Tribolium castaneum: one gene and its partner. The protein of the gene in region 2 binds, or shares a complex with, the protein of the main gene of each other region. Links are inferred from orthologs where the notes say so. Each region holds a gene or a part of one and is shown on either strand. Other genes may lie near its edges.

Region 1 (2,956 bases), on a different chromosome or scaffold from region 2:
AATTACAGAAACCTGTAATTGCCCACTTGTGAGTCCCTCGATTTTACTAACAACACTCAAACTTTCAACCAGCTGGTCCCCCCATGGATACTTGGCCAAAATTTCAACGTTCTGGGTCCCCTCTGTTAAAATATAACGTCCAGGTGACGAAGAAAACTGTAAAACTGGCTGTTGAAAAAATCAAAAAAAATTTGAAAAACCAACTCGGCGCCACCAAATTTTGCGCTCGCGTTGCCATTGGTGGAAAAACTGGGTCACGTCTTTCGGGGGCATAAAAACGCAGCATTCGTAGATCCGTCCCTGGTCGAAATACTTCTCAAATCCTGTTTTATCTAGTTGTTCCTGCACTCGCAATTTTCTCTGTGTTACACGAGAGATGCCAAACGGGGGAATCCCCAAACACGTCGCTTTGGCAAAATCGAAAGTCGCCGCGAAATCGTCCACACAATGAAACATTTGAATGTCTTTACTAATTACGATATTATTGAGCCACTCGGTGTGCAAATTTTCTTGCAAAAGTGCCCCAGTTGGCCCGATTTTGAACATTTCTAGCCTCGGATTGGCGATTCTTCGCAAGAATCCGTGCTTTTCACACAGTTTCACGATCTTTTCGAACGTCATCGTGCAGCAAATCCTCGCGAGGCTCCAGGGGGATGTTTCCAGGGGGGGCGATAAAATACTCCTCTTCGGTGATTTCAGCGTTTTGTAAAATATCCTCACGACAGTTACCTTCAGTAACACAGTCTTCCCGCGTCCGTAACGGCCTTGAACACGAAATCAGACCAAAAAACGAGGCTTGAGCCCTCACCTGTCTTCCAAAACCGTAACTAAAGGCTCGATGTTTGAAGTGTCCACTTGTTGGATTTGGTCGGCAAAGGCAATAGCGTCCTCCAATGTCTCTATCCCCTGTTTATTAGCGCAATCAACGAGTGATAAACGCTCTAGAAGGGCTATAGTTTTAGCGTCAATGCTAGTGCGTGGGGGCAACTTATTCCGGTCGATTTTTGACCGTGTGGGGGCTTTAGGCACGAAATAGTTGACTTTTCCAACACTTTGGATGCAAAAGTAACGGACACGGGCGAAACCACAGCGCAAAAAACTCATTTTTCGACACTAGTTTGAGGTTAGGGCCCGGCTTTTACTTAAAAAACGCCTGACTCTCATACGAAAAAAACGTTCACTTATTAACTGTTGGTGACTTTTGTGTAAATAAAGTAATTACGTTAAAAAATGTACACAAATTAGAAAAAAACACCAAAAATTGCGCTTGGTGAGGTAATGGAAAAAGTGAGGTTATGTAACATTTTTATTGCAGGCTTGTTATTAAATATTGTATAAATAATTGTGGGATTTGCTTCGTGTCAGGCGGGTGAAGTTTGCAATAACTTAAGTATTGTCTCCTCAAAATCATCAATTTTTGCACGGTTACGTTAGAAATATCGATGGATAGGTGAGGGAAATCCTCAATTTTTACAGCTCCTTGTACCCCCATATTCTTGCTTTTGACAAGCCCGTCTGTGATTTTTTTCGTGACTTGGTCCAAATCGTATAAGTTCGTTGAGTTTAGTGGGGGCTACAATTGTTCATTAGTGAAAATTGTTACAATAGAAATATTTCCTTTACGTTTTGAGTGGACATGTTAGGAACGACCGGTTCTGAGTCAAATAAACACGACATGATGGCACTTTTGTCCAGCTCTTGTCCGGGGAAAACCACAAATAGGGGTGAATCCCAGCGATTTTTCCCGTCGGGGTCTTCATACCGCATCAGAAGGGCATCAAAAGTATCTCTGATATACCTTTCCAATTCTGGCCGCTTCTCATTAAATTTCCACGCTTCGTCCCGGTTTATTTCAGTGTGAACCGTACACTGGGTGTTCTTGTTGGCCTTTGAGCCACAATACAGCTCGTACCGATAACCTGGAACGATTTTAAAACACCAAATCATACACAACTTTATTTACCTTTGATATAATTCAAGGCATCAAGTATCACAACATTTTTTTGTGTTATCAGTTTCAAAACTTCCGATTTGAGCAAACTTCGGATGTGTTTTTCAGCCGCGGCATCTGTGCATAATATTACAAAACAAATAAACCAAATTATCGATACTTGCCTGAAAAAAACGCGTTTTTTTCAAAATTGGCTTTGATGATTTGGTCAAATTCGCTAACAACGTGCACCTCCTTGCCGTGGCTTTCGAAAAATTGTTTCAGTTCAGTGGAACGGGTGGTTTTGCCGCTGCAGGGGACCCCAGTTACCACAATTAGGGGCATTGTCAGATGGTTTTTTAAGGTTAGATTTAATGACGTTTCAGCAGCACTTCCCACACATTACTTAAAATAAAAATTTGTAACAAAGTATTGACAATGGGGCAGATTCGTAACCACCTGTACCACGGGTAAGGTCATTAGCAGTTTGTAACCCAAAATTGTATTTTTTTGAGATTTCTTTACTGTTGCATCGTACCAAAGTTTTGGAAGCACTGGTTTAAGGAAACGCGCCAATTTTAACTTTCCGATTCAAAATTTTAATTTTAGATCAAAATAAATACAATTTTTACGTTTCGTGACCCGTAACTTACCCAGATGCGTATCTGAGCCTCGTTTTTTGCCACTGTGTGTTAAATTTTTAAACGTTTTAAGATTAAATTATAAATATTTTATCTGATGAAAAAACACAGTTCATTGTCCGAAATCACGAAGAAATGTTGGGATTAAGACAACCAAAGGTTTTGTCCGTATTTATAATACTTTCCACTGAATTTTTGCCGGTTTTAGACCAGGCTTATTGTCCAGAAATGTTTTTATTCATCTGGGGCCCCCACACACATGAATGTGCAAAATGGAATTGCGAAAATAGTGATGTGCGACCAAAAAACACGGTACTTTCGTTACATTTAACAAAAAATAGGTAAAAACGGTATTTTGAACAGAAATTCCTTGTCAATTTCAATG
Region 2 (4,185 bases):
CGGACCCGCCGAATTAATCCCTTGGTCACGCAAATTGACGATTCTCAACGACGTGAAGTCGCTCTGTTTGTGGAAAACCTTGTCAAAGCCGACCATTTCCAAAAAAGGCGCGTTCATGTTTTGTTGGATAAGCAGCTGCTTCTGTTTGTTGATTTTGGCGGTGAATTCATCCTCGAACTGGCCGTAGCGCGACTCAATCGACGCTAGGGCTGATTTCCCGCAATTGACCTTCTCAGGCCTTATGAAGGAACCTGAAGTCGGGTTTCTAAAATTTGGTAAAGTCGGGGTAAAAATGAATGGGGATCAATACCTGGTGGTGAAATATTGCACTCCGTTGACGCGGCCGTCGTGTTTGCCCCGCTGGGGGTTGTCCCAGTCGATCCCGAGCCAAATTGAGGGCTTGCCCTCGATGGGGCCCACGTATTTTACCGTTCCGATGTAACCGCCGCTCTCGACGCGGTCCCCAATTTGGCAAGGAGAGTGCGAATTTGTCATAGCTGTGATGTCTACAAAATTATTTGTGATGATTTTTTTCGCAAAATTACAGTGAGGTTAGGTTGGAAAAAGGGTATAAAAACTTACTTTTTTCAAGTCAGGTGGGTTAGAATCAAGCTAAATTTATACCGTACGGCCAAATTGTTACAATTATTTCAATACATACAACACATTATTGATTTAAAAGTAATATGAATCACAATTTTTTTGACATTTGTGATCGGCCCACGAAATCTTATGCGCGTCGAGACTTAGGATATTTTGCGCCAAACGATTCCGGGTTTTCACCCGAATTTAAGGAAAAAATAAAACACAACAAATACATTACGACTGTTTATTAACATGATTACTGTTTATTCAACAATTCTTTTAAAATCTTATCACATTTTTTCATGTCTGCTCTTTGTTTACTTTTCGTCGCCACGTATCCAAGAAGTGCTTTAAAAACTTTCGTTTTTCCGCCCTTGTACTGTTTCACAACTTTTTCGTTCTGGTCTAAGGCCTCCTGACATAACTGTCTCAACGCATCTTCGTCGGTAATCTGTAACCAGTTTTTTTCTCTCACGATCTGGAAACAAATAATTCGTAAGTGAAACAACTTCGGTCTTGCAAACCTCAAGTGGCCGTTTTGTGCTCCCTTGGATGATTTCGTCCAAGACGAGCTTAACCGTGTTTCTTGTGATTTCACCATTTTGCAAAAGTACGGCAATTTCCCCAAAATAGTCAGAATTAAAAGAACTGAAAAATGTAACTTAATCCCGATCTAAACTACTATGTTTCCGCACTTAACTCACAATTGGCTCGGTTCTAAATCCATCTTATTCAGAATCGAGGTGTACTCATTTATCAACAAGTTGGCGAGTAGTTTTCCCTCAATTTTTTTCGCCCTCCAAACGTCCTCAAATAAATTTAACAGCGAACTATCATTCACTAAAATAATGCTTTGCTCTAGAGTCAAACCGGAGCTTTCCCTCAGTCTAACTCTCGTTCCTTCCGGTAATTCCGGGAGAGAACTTTTGAGGGAGTCAACACTGACGCACCCTTGAGACACCGGACCCATTGCCACGTGCAAGGGGGGCAAATTAGGCTCCGGCATGTACCTATAATCCTGAGCAAATTTCGAAAATTTGACACAAAATTGAAAAAAAAACCTGCACTTGCTCCTTGTCTCTCATTGAAACTGTGACTTTACCCAAAGCGTCCCAAGCCCTAGTTTCATTCTCCACAGCCCCCCCAGACTCCTTCACTTGAATCTGGCGCTCGATTTCGTACCGAATCGCCCCCGCGACGCCCCTCACCGACCCGATATTCTTGATCTCCGTGCGCACCCCCAGAGCCTCCCCTTGTCTATTTATGGACACGTTCGCGTCCACCCGCAGGGCCCCCTCTAAAAATTTCGTAAGAATGTTGCCATTGATTTTAAAAGGGGCCCACCTTCCATTTTGCAGCTGCAAGTGCCAATGCGTTGCAAAATCGCGATTAATTCCTTAACTAGGGCTGCGGCCTCCTCGCCGTCGCTCAAATCGGGCTCGAAAACGACCTCCATTAGGGGAACCCCCGCACGGTTTAAATCAACGAGACTGCGGTCAGTGTCGTGGAGGCTCTTTCCGCTGTCTTGCTCCAGCTGGAGCTGCTTAATGCGGACTTGCCTCTTGTAGGGGGCTTTGTGAACACCGGGGCTAAAGACTTGGAATTCGAGACGGCCGTCGTTGGCCAGAGGGTGTCTCTGCTGGGTTATTTGATAACCGGCCTCAACGCAAAAATATAAATCACCAAAAAAACTGGTCAACAACTTACAGGGAGATCTGCGTAAAAATAATGTTTGCGGTCAAAAGTTGAGACGGGATTTATTCGACAATTCAAAGCTAGCGCCGTTAAAACCCCGAATTCGACGCATTTTTTGTTAAGTACGGGCAAAGTGCCGGGAATTGCGCAGTCGAAAAGGGCCACATTTGCGTTCACGGGGGACGAAAACTTGGTTGAAGCACTTGAGAATAGTTTACTGGTTGTGTTAATTTGGGCGTGAACTTCCAAGCCCACGACACTGTTCCATTGATTGTTGGCGCTAAAAATCCAAATTTGAGTCTAAATTGGGCAAATCTAGCCCCCATACCCCGCTTTACTAGAAAATAAACGTCTGGTTCTTTGACATAAATGACAGCCCCTGCGAAAATTATAGGTAAATTTATTGAACATTTTGCCTATTTTAAACACGTCTATAAAACAGTTTCCCTTTTTTTTTAATTTATATACAAATTTTTGGAGATAACCTGAAAATCGGAACAATGACCTTCAGGTCCAGAGTGGCCAACCATAAAAAATTAGAACGTGTTTACGTTATCACGATAGGAGCCTAAATAAATGGTTGTATTTTTTGTTGGTTGTGGTAATTTAGAGTAATTTTTTTCAAGAGAATGGGTGAGATTTGTGTGGTGTTCTTGAGTGGTTTTATAAAATTTGCTTTTTTTCCTGATTGAATTCGTATTGGTGCACCTGATGACGCTAAAACGGCGTCAAATTTAAAGTCTTGCAGTTTATCCGTACAGTATTACAAAAATTCGTGGCTTATTATCTAATTAAATTAACCGAATAGAAATTACAAATATTTATTTTGTTATCGTTTAAAAATAAAAATTACGACAAACAAGCTGTGTTTTCTTAGCGATAAATTTTTTGCCCATTTTCCGGGAAAACCTATCACTAGTAGCGAATAGTACTAGTTGAAAAAAAATTATTCAAAGATTTTTAATGGAAACTGATGAGAGAAATTTTTAATGATTGTGGAAGTGTTAATTAATTAATGCCCAATTAACCAAAGAAATGCAACGTTGTGTGTATTTATTAAACTGGTGGCGATGTGTGGCTGAAAATTCCTCGGAATTAAATGAAATTCAAATTTAATTAACGATTTTTTTAAATTTTTTGTTAAATGTCATCGTATTCCCAGCGCTGTCTCGCCGCCTAGATCGGAGCACCTGTTGTACTCCCATCCTCCACATGCGAGGCCCGATATCTCCATCTCATGCTATTTCTCAGCGAGCCAATGAAAACAAACTAATTCAGTCGTGTTGCGCCGGCAAAACAGTGCGCGTCGTAATGTGATATGTAGAAAAATCGTGGCCAAATATTTTACAATTGAACTGGAATATTTAACGAAACGTAAACAGAGCCGTTAATTTCATATGTGCTTTCATTCTAACCGCTATGTGCCGTTAAAACACCGCCAAACCGTCCGAATTCCACATTTGAGTGATGTAAATTTGGATTCAAGATGGCCGACTCTTATTACCAGGTGAGAAACAATTATGTATTTTTGTAATTATCTCAGCGTTAATAGCGACTATTAGCGCACAAGCTGGAAATTTGGCTAAGTAATGGGCTAATGGATGTCCTTGCGGGCCCGAGTGGCCAGGTCGCAGCCGTAAACAGATTAATTATTAGGTTATAATCTGGGGGGCTAAGCGAATTATCCTTAATTGTCTCAATTGCTGCGTTACGCTGTAAGTCAAGGTTTTACGTTCATACCGGTTTATTTTCGGATGCAAGTTTACTTATTTGTGGTTATCCCTGTTTTCAAGGTTAATGTCTTATTAATAAATAATTTGCCGTAAAGGTGGGAACGCTGGCCACTCGAGATAAACTTCACATTAATTAACCGAGGCTCACACATAAGGCAGTGGCATTGATTGA

What was found.
Region 1: GatB (region 2) and GatC share a complex: the UniProt entries of both Drosophila melanogaster proteins name them as parts of the heterotrimeric GatCAB amidotransferase (AdT) complex. The link is inferred for Tribolium castaneum from reciprocal best matches to the Drosophila melanogaster genes GatB and GatC.

Annotation. Positions count from the first base shown.
Region 1 is NC_087399.1:7,965,653-7,968,608, reverse strand, and holds GatC (glutamyl-tRNA(Gln) amidotransferase subunit C, mitochondrial), read right to left. Parts: upstream 1,287-2,956; 5' UTR 1,105-1,286; coding exon 809-1,104; intron 765-808; coding exon 590-764; downstream 1-589. Other genes in the region: PolG2 (DNA polymerase subunit gamma-2, mitochondrial), read right to left, coding at 13-156, 205-621; protein KTI12 homolog, read right to left, coding at 1,307-1,573, 1,624-1,919, 1,964-2,068, 2,116-2,275; enoyl-CoA hydratase domain-containing protein 3, mitochondrial, read left to right, coding at 2,707-2,730, 2,780-2,883, 2,935-2,956. UniProt on the Drosophila melanogaster protein: Allows the formation of correctly charged Gln-tRNA(Gln) through the transamidation of misacylated Glu-tRNA(Gln) in the mitochondria. The reaction takes place in the presence of glutamine and ATP through an activated gamma-phospho-Glu-tRNA(Gln).
Region 2 is NC_087394.1:27,621,647-27,625,831, reverse strand, and holds GatB (glutamyl-tRNA(Gln) amidotransferase subunit B, mitochondrial), read right to left. Parts: upstream 2,804-4,185; 5' UTR 2,692-2,803; coding exon 2,609-2,691; intron 2,561-2,608; coding exon 2,293-2,560; intron 2,246-2,292; coding exon 1,930-2,245; intron 1,883-1,929; coding exon 1,647-1,882; intron 1,604-1,646; coding exon 1,290-1,603; intron 1,234-1,289; coding exon 1,110-1,233; intron 1,064-1,109; coding exon 842-1,063; 3' UTR 816-841; downstream 1-815. Other genes in the region: Tbce (tubulin-specific chaperone E), read right to left, coding at 1-265, 311-495. UniProt on the Drosophila melanogaster protein: Allows the formation of correctly charged Gln-tRNA(Gln) through the transamidation of misacylated Glu-tRNA(Gln) in the mitochondria. The reaction takes place in the presence of glutamine and ATP through an activated gamma-phospho-Glu-tRNA(Gln).